Saccharomyces cerevisiae S288C: one gene and its partners. The protein of the gene in region 2 interacts with the protein of the main gene of each other region in a biochemical or structural test. Each region holds a gene or a part of one and is shown on either strand. Other genes may lie near its edges.

Region 1 (5,523 bases), on a different chromosome or scaffold from region 2:
GGTAGAAGAAGTCCAAAAGAAAGAAAGACTACCACGTGACGCGAACGAAGAGCCTTTTGTTTTCGTTGATCCACAGCACGAAGCTTTAAAAGTTTGTTGGGATTTCTACGGCATCGATAATATTTTCGACAGAAACACTTGTTTAGTGCGTAACGCCACTGGTGAACCAACAAGAGTGGTTTACACTGTGTGTCCAGCATTGAAGGATGTTATTCAAGCGAATGACGATAGGTTGAAGATTATTTATTCTGGTGTAAAATTGTTTGTCTCTCAAAGAAGTGATATCGAATGTTCATGGAGAATCCAAAGTGAATCATTGCCAATAATGAAACACCATATGAAATCTAATAGAATTGTTGAAGCTAATTTAGAGATGTTAAAACACTTGTTAATCGAATCTTTCCCTAACTTTGACGACATTCGTTCGAAGAACATCGATAATGATTTTGTTGAAAAGATGACAAAATTAAGCTCTGGTTGCGCCTTTATTGATGTGTCAAGAAATGACCCTGCCAAAGAAAACTTATTCTTGCCTGTGTGGAAAGGCAACAAGTGTATCAATTTGATGGTTTGTAAAGAAGATACTCATGAGCTATTATATAGGATCTTTGGTATTGATGCGAATGCCAAGGCTACTCCAAGCGCTGAAGAAAAAGAAAAAGAAAAAGAAACGACTGAATCTCCCGCAGAAACTACTACCGGAACCTCTACTGAAGCTCCTAGCGCTGCTAATTGATAGTTATCATGTTTCTTATCCCCTCCACTGTAAAGTAAATGTATATTATTAAAAGGCAAAAATAAGAATATAATACTTCAGTAATGAGCCTTTTTTATTCGGTCTTGTTACTTCTTTTTTACTTCATTTTTTTTTTTTTTTTTGGATAGTAAATAATGCACTTTTGACTAGATCTTGAGTATTTAGTTGAATTGAAATTAAAGATACAGTGTATAAAAATTATACAAAAAATAAAGGAAACTTGTATATTGAAAATAGGATTGCCAATACATGGATTGAGACAGAGAATTTTTTATCTTCATATCCAGATATTCGTAGGAATAACAAAGTTTTAGTGACCCAAGGTATAAATTGCGAAAGACCTGCGGAGTTGGCGGCGAACACTGACTTTTTGGGCATCAACAAAGGAATCAACTACAACTTTGATAGCTCTATCCAAATCATAAGAAGACACAAATTCAGATAATCTCATTTTAGCAAAAGATTCTGCAATTCTTAGAATAGATTCTAAATGACGAACTGTGATTGGAAACGAACCTGTAGAAATACTTTCTCTTCTCAAATCCGCATATACCCTGCTAACCTTATCCATATCCATCTGATGCAATTTAGGGTATATTTTTGTCCTCGCATAGTGAATATATTTCATCAATAATTCCTGTGGAATAGGCGAGATCTCTTCCTCCTTCTTCCTTTGTCTTTGAAGTCTTCTTTGCCTTGCATTAAGCTGCTCATTTATTTCATCTTCTCCTTGTTCTATCGCCGATTCGCCATTATTTTTAAGCTCTTCGCCTTCTCGATCTTCATCGTTTTCTGGATGAGATCTTACATGAGAATCGACAACAAATGTGGCCAATCTTTCGTCTGCCTCTTCATCAACAAGGTCTCTGACAACACATAAAATATCAAATCTAGACAGAATAGGCTCGGTCAAACTAACATTCTGAGCTAAAGGCAAGGTTGAATTATATCTACCACCATTAGGATTTGCCGCAGCAATAATTGAGCAGCGCGCTTGTAATGTAGTAACAATACCGGCCTTGGAAATGGAAATACTTTGCTGTTCCATAGCCTCATGAATAGATGTACGATCCTGATCGTTCATCTTATCGAATTCATCAATTAAACAAACACCCTTATCAGCCAATACTAGCGCCCCCCCTTCTAAGGTCCATTCTTTAGTAATAGGATCTTTTCTGACGGATGCTGTCAGACCGACAGCCGAAGCACCCTGACCAGTTGCAAAGACCGCTCTATGCGCTGTTTTCTCGACGTATTTTAAGATTTGAGATTTGGCAGTACCTGGATCACCTAATAATAACACATTGATATCACCACGAATAGAATGTTTTCCATTGACGTTTTTTGGAACACCTCCAAATAATGAGCACGCGACTGCAGTTTTAATATCTCTATGACCATAGATAGACGGTGCCATCGATGATATAATTTTATCAATTATACCACGATCCCTAGAAATCTTTCTAAATTCACGTTCTTCTTCTTCAGTCCAACTGAAAACATCCAACCCTTCTTCGCCTTCGTTAGCTGTATTGCCCTCTCTTCTTTTTATAGAATTTGCCTCGATAATTGTTGCAAAAACGGGGAATCCGTTCTTTGCATTCAAGTTACCATCGTAGTTATTTTTGTAGATGCCGGTAACTTCTACCTCTTCACCTGGCTTGGATACATCTACCAAATCCGCCAACAAAATGACTTCTCTATGTCTTGGTAGACGGCCTGGAGGAACGGTTCCGGGAGCTTCCTGGAGCGTAACCCTTTGATAATTTCGGTACACAGTTTTTTCTCCATTGACTCTAAAGGGACCTTTTGATTTGCAGTTTGTACAGAATGAGATTCTAATTTCTTCATTAGAATCTTGAAAAAATGGGCCCAAAATGGAGCCACATTTCAAACAATTGAATTTGACATATTTTAATTGAGGGAAGACTCCTGTTCTTCTTGTCACCACCCCAGTGACGCGTACTAGAGAGGACAAATTAGACTCACGCAATTCACGTAAACTGTATATTGTTGGAAAATCAGAGATTCTTACGTGAATTTCGGAGTGAATACGGGCATAATCTGGGTAATGCAATTCTGTTGCCTCCATAGCCACGAGATCGAATATTTTCAACATTTCTTCTGGACATTTAGCTAAAAATAGTGCCAGGATGGCTTTGGACTCCGCTAAGTGTCTATAATTAACCTCCAAAGATTCAGAATTCATTTCACCTAATGTTCTAATACGTGCACCATATACAGAACGACCCGTTTCATCTGTATATTCCAGCAGGAATGATTTTAACTCTCTGGCAATAGTTCTTGAGACATTAGGTTGTGTTATCCATTCCGAGTAACTGTTAGCCTTAACGTTACTCAGAGATTCTAAAGTAAGTTCTTCTCTTAATGGGTCAATGTCCATGTCACTCAATAGATCGTCATCACTATTCTCTAAGTCCTCATACTGCCTTCTCCTTCTTCGTCTTTGCACAGGAAGGCCCATTTCATCAAGTTGCGCTGCACCTTCTTGTTCTTCGTCCTCGTCATCTATGTAGGCAACATTTCTCAATAGCCTATCTCTTTCATTTAGTTGAGCATCAATGCGGCGACGTTCGCTTAAAGATAGTTCTTGTTGTTCCCTGTCGTCAACTTGATCTGGATCATATCTATCTCTATTATGATCAGCCGCATAATCCTCATACATATTATCGTCCATCAAATCTACTTCGTTCATTTGTTCTTCAACTTCATCAATATCTGGTACATCGTCAACTTCATTATCGTCACCTTCAGGGTTAATCATATCTGGAGAACCAATAGGTGATGAAACTGGGTTCATCCCCCCTCTAAAATGTTGCTGAGGTGAGGATGGCGGTAGCTCATTTTCTGAGTCCGAATCATCTTCCTCACGTCTACGTCTTCTATTATCAGACATCACTTATATTGTAGTTGTGTTATACTTCTTAGAAAAGAGGCAAAGAGGTGTGTGGAGTATTATTAAGTAAACTGTACCAAAATGTGTAGATTATAGGATATTCACCATTTACTTTCTGGTTTCGTTTCTCGAAATTTTTCGTTGTCCTATTTTCTTCGGTAAGTAATTAGATTTCCTAAAAAAGGCATATGATAAATAATATTACACGCGATTCCGCCATCTTGGGTTTCCCACATACATACTTCACGAAGAAAAGAAAGAATTTAGTATTGTGTAATAAAATTGATGTTTATGTTTAAATATTTACAGAATGTTTAAACAGGTATTTAATCCATTTAGATGAAAAGTTAGTCCTTTTCCTTTTTAGCATCCAAAATCTCAAATTCAGCCTTCCATACTGAATTACCTTCTTTCGTATTCACATCCTTGAATAATTTTTGGAATATATCATTATACCAATCAGCAGCTAAAGGTTCCAACCCTTCCTTTACATTGTCTGGAAGTTCCTCCCAATCATTTAAGTTATCTTTAGGGAAAATAATAGTCTTGGCACCAGATCTTTTAGCGGCCACAGCTTTTTCTCTCAACCCACCGATACGTAAAACTTTACCGGTAAGTGTCAATTCACCGGTCATCGCAACCGTTGGGTCAATCGACTTATTCAATGCTAGGGAAAGGAAGGAAGTGGCCATAGTGACACCTGCAGATGGACCATCTTTAGGGGTAGCACCTTCAGGACAATGCAAGTGGATAGACGCCTTTTCAAAAAATCTGTTCTCAGGGAATTTTTGTGCTAAATACATCTTGGCGAATGAATAAGCAAGCCTTGATGATTCCTTCATAACATCTCCCAGTTGCCCGGTCCTTTCAAATGTTGGATGCTTGCAGTTGTGTAAAGGTTGTTCAAGGACAGATTCTACATAAAGTGAGCAACCTCCCATATTAGTCCACGCCAACCCCATAACTACCCCTGGTGGAGTTGTTTCGTATAACCGGTCTGTAGTGTAGACTGGAGGCCCAACGTAATCTTTTAGGTTTTTCTGGGATATGGAAACATTGATCTTTTCAGAGGTCTTTAAGGCTTCAATGTCATCGCTTGTCTTTTCCGAATTATTGTCCTTAGTCTTCTCCGATGAGCTTTTGGCGTTATTTTCCGCCTTTTCTTCGGAAGAAACGCTTTCTTTAGGCTTGCTGTCGGCTGATGACGTTGGGGAATCTTCAATACTCAACTTCTTTACCACTTGTAGGGCTGCTTTACGGTATATTTTCTCGATGTGTTTTTTCAAATTCCTTACACCACTTTCTCTACAGTAGTACTTCATTAACGCTGTTATTGCATCTTCTGTCATATCAACATGAGAGTTTTCTAGACCAGCGCTTTTCTTGGCACTTGGAACTAAATACTGCTCGGCAATCTTAACCTTGTCTTCAGCAACATATCCTGTCAACTCAATGACTTCCATACGATCCAGTAAAGGTCTTGGAATAGTTTCCAAAGAGTTAGCAGTGCAAACGAAAAGCACTTTTGATAAGTCAATAGGAATATCCAAGTAGTTATCCAAGAAGCTGTTGTTTTGTTCAGGGTCCAATACTTCTAACAATGCCGCGGACGGATCGCCGTGTATGCCGCCGTGTCCAATCTTATCGATTTCATCTATCAAAATCAAAGGATTTTGAGTTTGGCACTTCTTTAATGCTTGAACTACTCTGCCAGGTAAGGCACCAATATACGTTCTCCTATGACCTTTTATTTCTGCCACGTCCGTCATACCGCCTACAGAAAATCGGAAGAATTTCCTGTTAAGAGCTCTAGCGATAGATTTACCTATGGACGTTTTACCAACACCTG
Region 2 (5,036 bases):
CTATTCTGTAAATATCCAAAATTTCTTGGCCCATAATCAAGTCGTTTATAGGTTGTGTAGTTAATAATGCAGTGATGATGAAATTGATGTAATTTTTGATCAGTTCTGTGTTCAGTCTGTATATTGCCCACAAACTTTTTAGTTCTGTGGTTTGAGAGGTGGTTAAATAAAGGCATCTTTGTTGTAACTCGGTTTCCTGCACCACTATGATTTTATAAATTTCCTGCAGTTTTTTAATAAACGTCTGATTTGGCTGCGCCGAAGGAAGTTGCCTTATCATCGGCGGGGGTGAAGCAGCAACTACAGGAGCTCTTCTAATATCGGATAAAGTTACTTGGCTTTGGGGTTGCGAATTGCTATAAATACCATTTGAAGCGACTAATGGCTCGTCAGCTCTCATTTGTGGATTTGCGTTATCTTCATAAGTGTCTCTAGAAACAACCTTCATATTTCGAGCAAGCATAGTTCTATTCACATAATATGGAGATTTAGGAACATCCATTGTTGGAATAGAACTGGTCTTAACTTGTGGTGTCGATTCCATAACTTTGCGAGAGATGCTCGGTCTTCTAGATGCATCATCAGTTTTGGAGGGTGTGTTTTGTGCAGAGATCTGGCTATTAGTTATTCCATCTATAAATCCTTTCCCTACGGGATCTACAATTCCAGGCACCCTTCTTTTAGCGAACGACGACTCTGGTGTATCATTGTGCGACGAAGAACTATGTCGCTTTTGATGAAGAAATGCGGCGGAGGTCGGGCGCATATCGCTCACAATATGAGTGTGGTTGTTGTTGGATCTAGAATAATCAGTTTCATTACTAGGGTCATCATTCGCCGGCACCATTAGGTCAACCATATTATGCGATATCCGTGGTCTTGTTGTTATGTATTGAACCTAAAAATAACGTTAGATGCTGCCAAAGATCGGCCAAAAACGACTGTAAAGTGAAGTAAAGAGTACAGAATGAAGGATGCGCCCAAGAGGGAGATGTTTTCGGAGCGTTTTGTGTCTCACAAGATGTTCTCTTCTGTTCTTTCTCACTTTAAGGATTGATTCCCTATATTGCAACCAAAATCACTCAATTTTTCATCATAATTTTTCAATCATTACCCGCGCCATTGTCCATCAAAAGTAATACCATTTTGGGGCCCTGAAAAGCACACCAATACTTATTTATATTATCTCAAGATCGCTGGCACTACCGTCAGAAGTTTCTTTAGTTTCCTTGGATCCGAAATGTTTTTGCCAAACTTCTTCGCGATGGCTTCTTTTCTTGAACCATTCGTTCTTTGAAGGTGCGAGAATGACTTTTTCCTTCTTGTAATGCAAGAGATCGTTTATAACAGTTTTTTTTTTACCGAGTAAGTTGTTCTTAGGTTCGCTCCCTGATACAGAAGACTTGAGTACTTGGGAAATTTTTCCATGAGTGGGATCGAATCCTAGGCGTTGGATAAGCCCTGTCTGGAGGGCACTTTCTGTGGTTCGTTTCATTTTCTGTCGCTCTCCGACGCTCTTATCTTCTAATCCGCTGGATTCCCTCCTTCTCATAATTTTGCCTAGTTCGCGGCTCAGTGCTGTCGATTTCTTAGTTTCTATTATTTTCCTTCTTTTATTGTCTAAGTTTGCCAGCATATCTGGATTCTGAAATTTCTCGTCGAAAAATGCTTTGGCAGAATTACTATTCGTAAAATTGTGAGAGCTCTTTTTAAGTCTTTCCTCCTCTTCTGACAGGCGCTTACGAGTACCTTTGATTATATTAAACCCGTTTTCCCCTTTGGCCTTATATAGGCTTGGTTGAGAGTCCACTTTCGTAGGCGCGCCCAAGGCGTACCCACCATTTAATTCAATTCTTTTAGCACTTGTTCCACGAAATTGCACTTCTCTATGGTAATCGCAACACTTATGAAGAGATATGTTAATGGGAGAGCCACATTTTTTGTGAGTCTTTTTATTCACTATGGGACACCAACCTAAATCTCTACTTGAACCTATCTCCAGGATACATTTGAAGTCATGACTAATTCGAAGGTTGAAGGATTTGATAAAATTTCCTCGCCCTGAGGGTCTCCATGGTAGTACTTCTGGGTTTAATATTGCTATCACATCACCCAGGCGAAGATTATAATATCTTTCTACACCCTTTTTCCCGAAGATATAAACATCTAGTGTATGCTGAAAGTCCGTTATGGTGAACATGAAGAATTTGACTGGCTTTTCAGATGATGTAAATTTGATGTCCGATTTGTGGCTAATGAGGCCTACGGTGGCCCAGTTGGCGTATTCAGGCTCTTGAAATTTAGGTGGGCGAATTTTAGCAAAAAGTTTGCCCAACCGAAGGATTTTGATCTCATGCAAAGCCCGTTTTAAGTCATCTTCAGGTATGTACCTCTTTTTAACCCAAAGATTTGAAAAGCTTTCTAATTCGTTTGTGATTATCGGCACATATTTCTTCTCATCGGTACTGAACGTATGTACTCTTGCATTCATCATGCTTTCAAACTTGGCAATTTGTTTATCTTCGTTCTTCTTTGCGTTTTGAAATTTCTCCATAAAGTATGTGGTTGTACTAGCTGGTGGTTTTGGTTGCTGCTGTAATTGAGATAACCTTACTTCATTAATATTCGAACCTTCGAATTTTGTGCCTTGTTGTGTAGCATTATGAGACCCCACTTTCACACGGTTTTTGGTAGGAGATTGAGGTACCTCGATGGCTTCAAAATTAGGATCCTGGGGTTTCTTAAATTCTTGCTTTCTTTTTAATCGTTCCACTAAGGCCTGCCTCTTTCGTTCCATAAATTCAAGTTCTCTCGCGATGGCTTGCTCATCCTCTTCATCAGAAGTAATATTATTGTACGGATCAACCGCTAAAATTTCACGAGGATCATTCATTTCTCCACGAACCAAGTGCTTAATGTGCGTTGAAAATGTGAGGTTGAATTGACAAACTTACGTTCCTTTATCTTCGATGGCCTATAAAGTTGATATTTCTTAGTGGTGTTAGAAAAGGTGGGTTTGCGCATCCAAGAAACCCGCGTGAAAAAAAATGGCAAATAAACCCAAAATTTGTTCATACTTAACTACTAGTACGGATGTGTCATAAATCACTTTATGTCCTCTGTAATGACATTAGTGACATTTAAAATATGTAGATGTTTCATATTTATATAATTACATTGTTTAATATTACATCACTCGTTGGAAGCTTGATCATTTGCTGGACTCTCTTTAACCTTTTTGGTGTCTGGATCAGAAGATGTACCGCTCTCAATTGGCCGTTTAGATGTACTTCCAATTTCTGTTATTTTTGCTCCATCGGTGCTATTGTTAGTTAGATCGGTTACGTTGGAAAAGTTAATCGCCGCTTTGACTGCAACTTCAGGTTGAATATTGAGTGTACGTAGGGGGGCATTCGTATTGATATTAGATTGGGATGCTGTGAATGGGTTCTGAAAACTTTGAAGAGATGATGTATTAGAGGAGAAGAATGGCTTACCAAAACTAAAGGTTGGAATGGCCTTGTTACCAGCAGCGCTACTATCCACGATATTATTTTCTTTATTTGTAACCATTGACTGGCTGTCATTGAAGGAAACGTCATTCTTCACATTCTTCAATTGTTCTTGAGGTTTAAGGTTTTTTTGATTTATAAAGCCAGCGACAGCCGACGGCCTCTCAGAATTCCCCTTCGATGGACTGTTCCATAATTCTTCTTCGGCATCTTCCCCGCTACCTTTGTTATCAAGAAACGTTAAGCTTCCCGCGTTTTCTTTCAATTTCTTTCGAAATTCTTCTTCTAATTCTTCTTTACGCTTACTAATGATCTTTTGTATCCTTTCCTCGCTTGGTAACCTTATTCTTTTCTTTAAATTCTCTTCTGCTTCCTTAATTCTCCTTAACGTTTCATCTTCATATTCCTTTAGCCATTCCTTTTTCAATGTTTCGATATCTTTACTGTATTCTGCTTCTGAGCTTGTACTCTTATTTAAGGTCTCTTGTAATTTTTTTTCAAATTCCTTCGTTCTTTCGTCAATAATTCTGTCCTTTTCTTTCTCCATGTTAACTTTCAATTTCTCAAATGCATCAGATGAGCTATTCGCAGTTTTGAAAATTTGTAACTCCTTTTTGAGTGATTCAATTTCCTCCATTAATGTCCGATAAGTGTCCTTTTCGTGATCTCTCGAGACGTCTTCTGATTGGAGTTCATGTGCTTTGAGCTTCGTATCTAGATCAATAACTTTAGCGTTTTCAAAGTGTAGATCTTGTTCTAATTTGTCTTTAATTGCTTTTAATTCGTTGAGTTCGTTAGTTAAAGCAGCTTGTTGTTTCTTAGATGCGTCCAATTTTTCATGAGCCTGCTTCTTTAGCCTATTGAATTTATTTTCCAAGTCAGCGTTTGCGTTCTCAGCGCTTGAAAGTTTTCCCTTCAAATCACTAATCTCATTAGTTAGCTTTTCAATGTCTTTTTTTTGGGCATCTTTTTGTTGTTGAGATAAGTCCTGGTACCTCTGTTTACATTGCTCCATTTCACTTTCATATACTAAAATTTTGTTAGAATTTATCGAAACTTGTTCTTTTGTTTGTATGAGATCACGCTGTAATCGAGAAATTTCTTCTTGCCTATCATTTAATTGTTTATAAATTTCCCTGTTTTTTTCGGTTACGTTTTTGAGACTCTTTTGTAAGATGGCATTATTCTCTTTTAAAATGTTAACTTGAGTAACTTCTTTCGTGATATCCTTGAATTCGTCAATAATAACTGCAGAGCATTGGTATTCCTTCTCCGATAAAGTCTGGGTTCGTTGCAGGTCATTTATCGTTTTTTCTAAACTATCGTTCTTTTGTTTAACGAATGCCAATTCTCTCTTACAGGTGGTTAACTTCGTCTCTAAAGAATTTCTTTCATGACGTAAGTTTGAAAACAAAGAAACTAGCTTCAAATGATCTTTATCGCCATTATTTGCTGCTGTGTCATCAACCTTTTCAATCAATACCGAATTTTCAACACGCAAGGATTCCGTCTGTTCAATATTAG
Region 3 (4,765 bases), on a different chromosome or scaffold from region 2:
ATATCAACTGATATATATACACGTGAAGCAAAAAAGGCATTGCCTCTGTCAGAGAAACGAACTATCCTCGTTGCTATAGTGTCTTCTGCACTTATCGCGTAGACTTTCTATTGGCACTCTGTCATGGCATTTAATCTTGTACACATTCTTTAATTCTTCTTGCAAAAGAAGGTACTCTTCATGCAAATGATGACTTTGGAGTGAATTGACTAATCCTGAGTCGTTCCAGAAACTTTTTAAGGCGTTCGTTTCATGATTTATTATGTCATCCAACCGTCTCATATTAGGTTTCGAATTTGTTACAAATTCTCGCCTTGATAACCTCTCCAGGTCTTCTTTGTTGCATCCAGGTACACTCTCTAACAACATTGAACCATTGCCCTCCGGATTCGCACTGTCATATTTATTAGCCTCTTCGCCGCACATGATGTCAATATCGGGTCGATAGCTGTCTATGCCGTCTAGATGGCCCACCTTATGAAACACAAGACAATGTGCTGCCCTTTCGGCTTTCAAAAAACTGTCAATTCTACTTTCCCTTAGCGTATTGCGCTCACAAAACGGTGAATAATCGTATTGCTTTTCTTCCTCGATGTGGCTCAAAGTATTCAGATAGTCGACTTCGTCTACGTCCATATTTATCCCATAGAGATCATCTGCAGTCCTCTCCTCTAGTACTTCGCCTGTTATGGGCATCGAATCATCATTTATTACCCTTGTCGACCTTTTCCGTAGCGGTGTGGTAAAATTGTTAAAGTTGGCTTTGTTGAACCTTGGTGTTTTCCAGGGCGGCAATGACGGTAGTTGAAACAACTTGCCTTCGTTCTTATCACCATTTTGGTTCATCTTACTTTGTCACAGCTATTTCTTTCCTTCCTGAATTTGTCCTTCCAAACCTAGTTCCCTGTTCTTAATTTCCTTTTATTTAGGTTTTTTTTTTTGTTTTGTCAAGAGCCGCGCACAAAATATGGTATTATTATAGAAAAGTTGGACTTAAAAGCTTGAAAAAGCTTAGATTTTATATTCATATGCTGGTATATATGTACGACTAAATAATATAAATTTGATTATAACAATCCACTCAAGGTCAGCTTCTCCAGGAATGGTGAAAGATCTTCACGACGTATTTCAATTATGGAACTTTCAAAATTATCTATTCTCACTTTAGCATCCGTTTCTGCAGTTATTTGTTGAAACGCCATGCTGAAATTATTCAAAATAGGTTTTTTTGTGTGTATCGTGTCTAGTCCGCGAGGATACCTAGGTGTTAACCCAGCAACCAAGTAAGTGTCCGTATTTTCATCTATGCTGGCAAGCACCATGGGCAACAATTGCTTGTCTTCAGATTCCGCACAGCATTCTATGAGCCAATTTCCTAATCTTAATAACGTCAATGGGTTTCTGTACAAGTCTAAATCGGGTCCGTCTTGTAAGACGCATAATCTATAAATTCTTAAATGCTTGATTAATTTCTTCTCCAATATAGCAACCCCGGTATTAAAAATTGCTCTCTGTAAGTCTTGTGCTAGTTGAATGCCACGGTTTAATAGTTCCACCTTTCTGTCATCTAGAGCATCCCAACTGAGCCAAAAATTCGAAACCCATCTTTTTCTCAAATTCGTCAATTTTTGAGCGCTGTTATCTTCTTCTTCCTCTCCATCTGTATCGTCATTATTGTCATTATTTATTTTCACACTATCCTTATCAGTTGAATTACCTACTTCCAAAAGAGCTGTTAGTGCTTCGACAAATTCACTGGCACTTATGGACCCACGATATCCAAGAGTTCTAACAAACCCATCTCTAATTATATCTTGCAACCCATAACGATCCAAATTTTTGTCAAATATTATCCCAAGTTCTCTCTTAATAGAATGATCCATGTATAACCATGTTTCTTGTGCAGTACTTAATGGTATACCCATTCTAGCAAACATCTTATGCAATCTCTTTTTCCCATTTTCATTCCATAGGGATAGTTTGGCATTGACATAGTTAGAATAATAAAAACTGTCGTACAATGAAGAATGCCTCAGTAAGAAAAGGTAGTAATCCGGTTGGATGTTTAACGTCAATGTATCAGGGGTCTTTACTGAGTTTCTACTGCTTGGTGTGAGACGCTTCACTTCATCTTGCAATAAGGGGTATAATCGATTGTAAACTTGAGCATATGCTATATCTAACGAGGTCGTACCAAGTATATTCAACCACAGGTTTGAAAGATTTGTTTCTCCGATAGCAGACAATAATGAATAGATTTGTGCAGATATCGAGTTAACCACTGTTGTGCCTTGAGAATAGTATTCCTCCAAAACACCTTCATATTCATGGATTTGCTTCTTTCGTTGCTTTCTTTTTGAGAGATCATTCGGTCCTATTGAAGAATTACCTCTTTTATTAGATATTGTCTCATCTTCGTCTTCTTCGTCCTCGTCTGTGACTTCATCGGCATCAGTTGCCTCATCGTCACCCCCATTATTATCGTTCTCGTCACCTGAGAGCTCATCGTCACCACTCTCCTCGTCCAGTTCAAGCAATTTATAGTATGCTTCTTTTTGTTCGCCTAATGTGTCATCCACCGTACCGTCGTCAAAACATTGGATGATTTGTGATCCAAATATATTGTCGAGATTCCACGGTCTATGAGCATCCAACACGTAGATGTCTCTCCTGAAACTTTGTTCCCCCGACTTTTCATCTGTATCGATAACATACTCTTGGGGATCGATTTCTAAGAAAGCCTCCAGATCAATAACGCCTCCAAACCCTACTAATAGCAGACTATTTATATTGTCATCCAATTGAGAATAGTGGCGTCGTAATTCAGAGTACCCAAATATCGGTACTATTTGAGATTGTACCAATTGTTTTTTGAATAATAGTGACAACATCTTCGTCGCACACAGCGCATCGATGTTAAGACAAGAAACGAAAATGACCAATTGACATGATGAATGAGACGATGAATTCCTTAAGATTTTGTTGTAGGCTTCGCTAAACTGGCTGATTCCATAATACATGTGCGAGAGTATATTCTTGTTATTATGTGCCTTCTCTCTAGTGTTTATTGCTACACTTTTATTGCTCTATAGTGCGTTGTATAAAGTAGCCACAATGGATTGTTGGCATTACTACAGCTTCATTATTTACTGAAATTTCTTAAAACGCGTTAGATGATATGTTGAAAAAAAAATACGCGTCGTGAATGAAACTTATTAGGTTTTACGACTAGTTAAAGCAAGAGAGAGAAGATCGAATTGACTAAATGTCTTCACTTTGAATTTATTCTAGTAGGATTCGCATGGCTTTTTCATAATAAAAATCTCGTTTATTTATGCTTTTGGTTGGTTTTCCTTTGATAAATGCGGCCCTTGCTTTGTTTGTGGTTGCAACGAGTTCGTCAAATGATAAATTGACGCTTAACACAGACGCATGGGAACCACGTAATTGAATTAATGTTTTCTTCTCGAAACAATTGCAATGTGACTTTCTTGTTAGGCAATGTGAGATGAAAGATGGCCTTTACCTTTGCAGATGTTTGGGTGTGGCTCTGAGCTGTCCTTTATAATTATAGAGATAATTTTGATGAAAGCTCAGAAGACCTTTAATGACGAAAAATAGGCATGGTTTGCCAGGCAAAAAACGACCAAATTTTACTGTAGTATGAGTCAAAGTCGCTGGAGTATCGTTCTCATCTTTGCATTGTTTATTTTTGGCAGCACTGGAGTGAATGCCTTCTTCAATTTCGGTCATCATCAGCAACAGCAACAGCAACAGCAACAATCATATGAAGATCAAGTTTTAAATAACCCTTGTGATGGGTATTTGTGTCCGGACACCCTAACGTGCGTTGCACAGCAGAAAGACTGTCCTTGTCCCTTCCCTAAATCTCAGTTGAAATGTGTCCTTCCTGATAATAAATTTGTTTGCATATCCAAACCAGCCACACACAATGAAAAGTTTAGAGCAATATATGATGACCCTGTCAAGGGCCCCAAAGCAAAGAACAAGGGGTTTAGGGATTGTGGATGGGTATCAGATGCTTACAAAAACCATTGAAATCTGTATAAAAAATACATACACATACATATATACATACGAAGGATTTATCTTCTCATTGATATTCTAGTCTCTATTTCTTCCGGGAACCCATCTCTTATACAATACTTCACCAACTTGAAAACTATTGAACAATTTAGTAAAGTTGTTTGATTTCCATAGTGCTATCGCCTCCTGTTCCGAGATTAGTCTCTCCACGTAGCATAACACAAACGTCTTCTTTGCGCCGCCCACAACACGGGCTATGCTAGAATACCACGTATAATCTTTAGAGACGTCGTGGTCAAGACCCATAACACAAAATTCAGCGTGTTGAAATGGTGGCCCTCTCTTATATAATAAATAATCGCAGCCGAATTTTATACCAGATCTTACGCACCAACCGTGTGATCTGTAGTGATGGTATATAACGTATGATCTGACAAAGGAGTGAATATCTTTATATTTGGCATCGAATTGAAACAGTTTCCCTGCCAGGCACGCGGGAGATATGTCAAGAACAGGAAGTGCAAAAGTTAAAAACATAGCTTCCACTGGCATTAGTTCTAGTGACTCTAGTGGCAAAAGATCACCGTTCTCATCAAGAAGATTGTTGTCTTCATCTCTTAAATTTGATTCGGAAATGTCTTGCTGTTGTGCAACGATGCCCACGTCTTCTGTTTGTTTTAGTTTAAATTTTCTTAATGATTCTCGTTGTTTCTCAAGG

The links. The genes of interacting proteins can lie anywhere in the genome.
Region 1: the proteins of MCM10 (region 2) and MCM2 form a complex in vitro, tested with the Saccharomyces cerevisiae proteins (5 studies listed by BioGRID).
Region 3: the proteins of MCM10 (region 2) and CDC45 form a complex in vitro, tested with the Saccharomyces cerevisiae proteins (4 studies listed by BioGRID).

What each region holds. Positions count from the first base shown.
Region 1 is NC_001134.8:173,853-179,375, forward strand, and holds MCM2 (MCM DNA helicase complex subunit MCM2), read right to left. Parts: upstream 3,675-5,523; coding exon 1,068-3,674; downstream 1-1,067. Other genes in the region: NCL1 (tRNA (cytosine-C5-)-methyltransferase), read left to right, coding at 1-736; ATP-dependent Lon protease PIM1, read right to left, coding at 4,022-5,523. UniProt on the Saccharomyces cerevisiae protein: Acts as a component of the MCM2-7 complex (MCM complex) which is the putative replicative helicase essential for 'once per cell cycle' DNA replication initiation and elongation in eukaryotic cells.
Region 2 is NC_001141.2:59,836-64,871, forward strand, and holds MCM10 (Mcm10p), read right to left. Parts: upstream 2,894-5,036; coding exon 1,178-2,893; downstream 1-1,177. Other genes in the region: ESL1 (Esl1p), read right to left, coding at 1-859; MLP2 (Mlp2p), read right to left, coding at 3,193-5,036. UniProt on the Saccharomyces cerevisiae protein: Required for DNA synthesis. Required for entry into or completion of S phase. Involved in DNA replication and seems to participate in the activation of the pre-replication complex (pre-RC) and in transcription elongation.
Region 3 is NC_001144.5:342,922-347,686, forward strand, and holds CDC45 (DNA replication initiation factor CDC45), read right to left. Parts: upstream 3,021-4,765; coding exon 1,068-3,020; downstream 1-1,067. Other genes in the region: APC9 (anaphase promoting complex subunit 9), read right to left, coding at 49-846; LCL2 (Lcl2p), read left to right, coding at 3,664-4,059; tRNA splicing endonuclease subunit SEN2, read right to left, coding at 4,126-4,765. UniProt on the Saccharomyces cerevisiae protein: Required for initiation of chromosomal DNA replication. Acts at the origin of replication. Also has a role in minichromosome maintenance.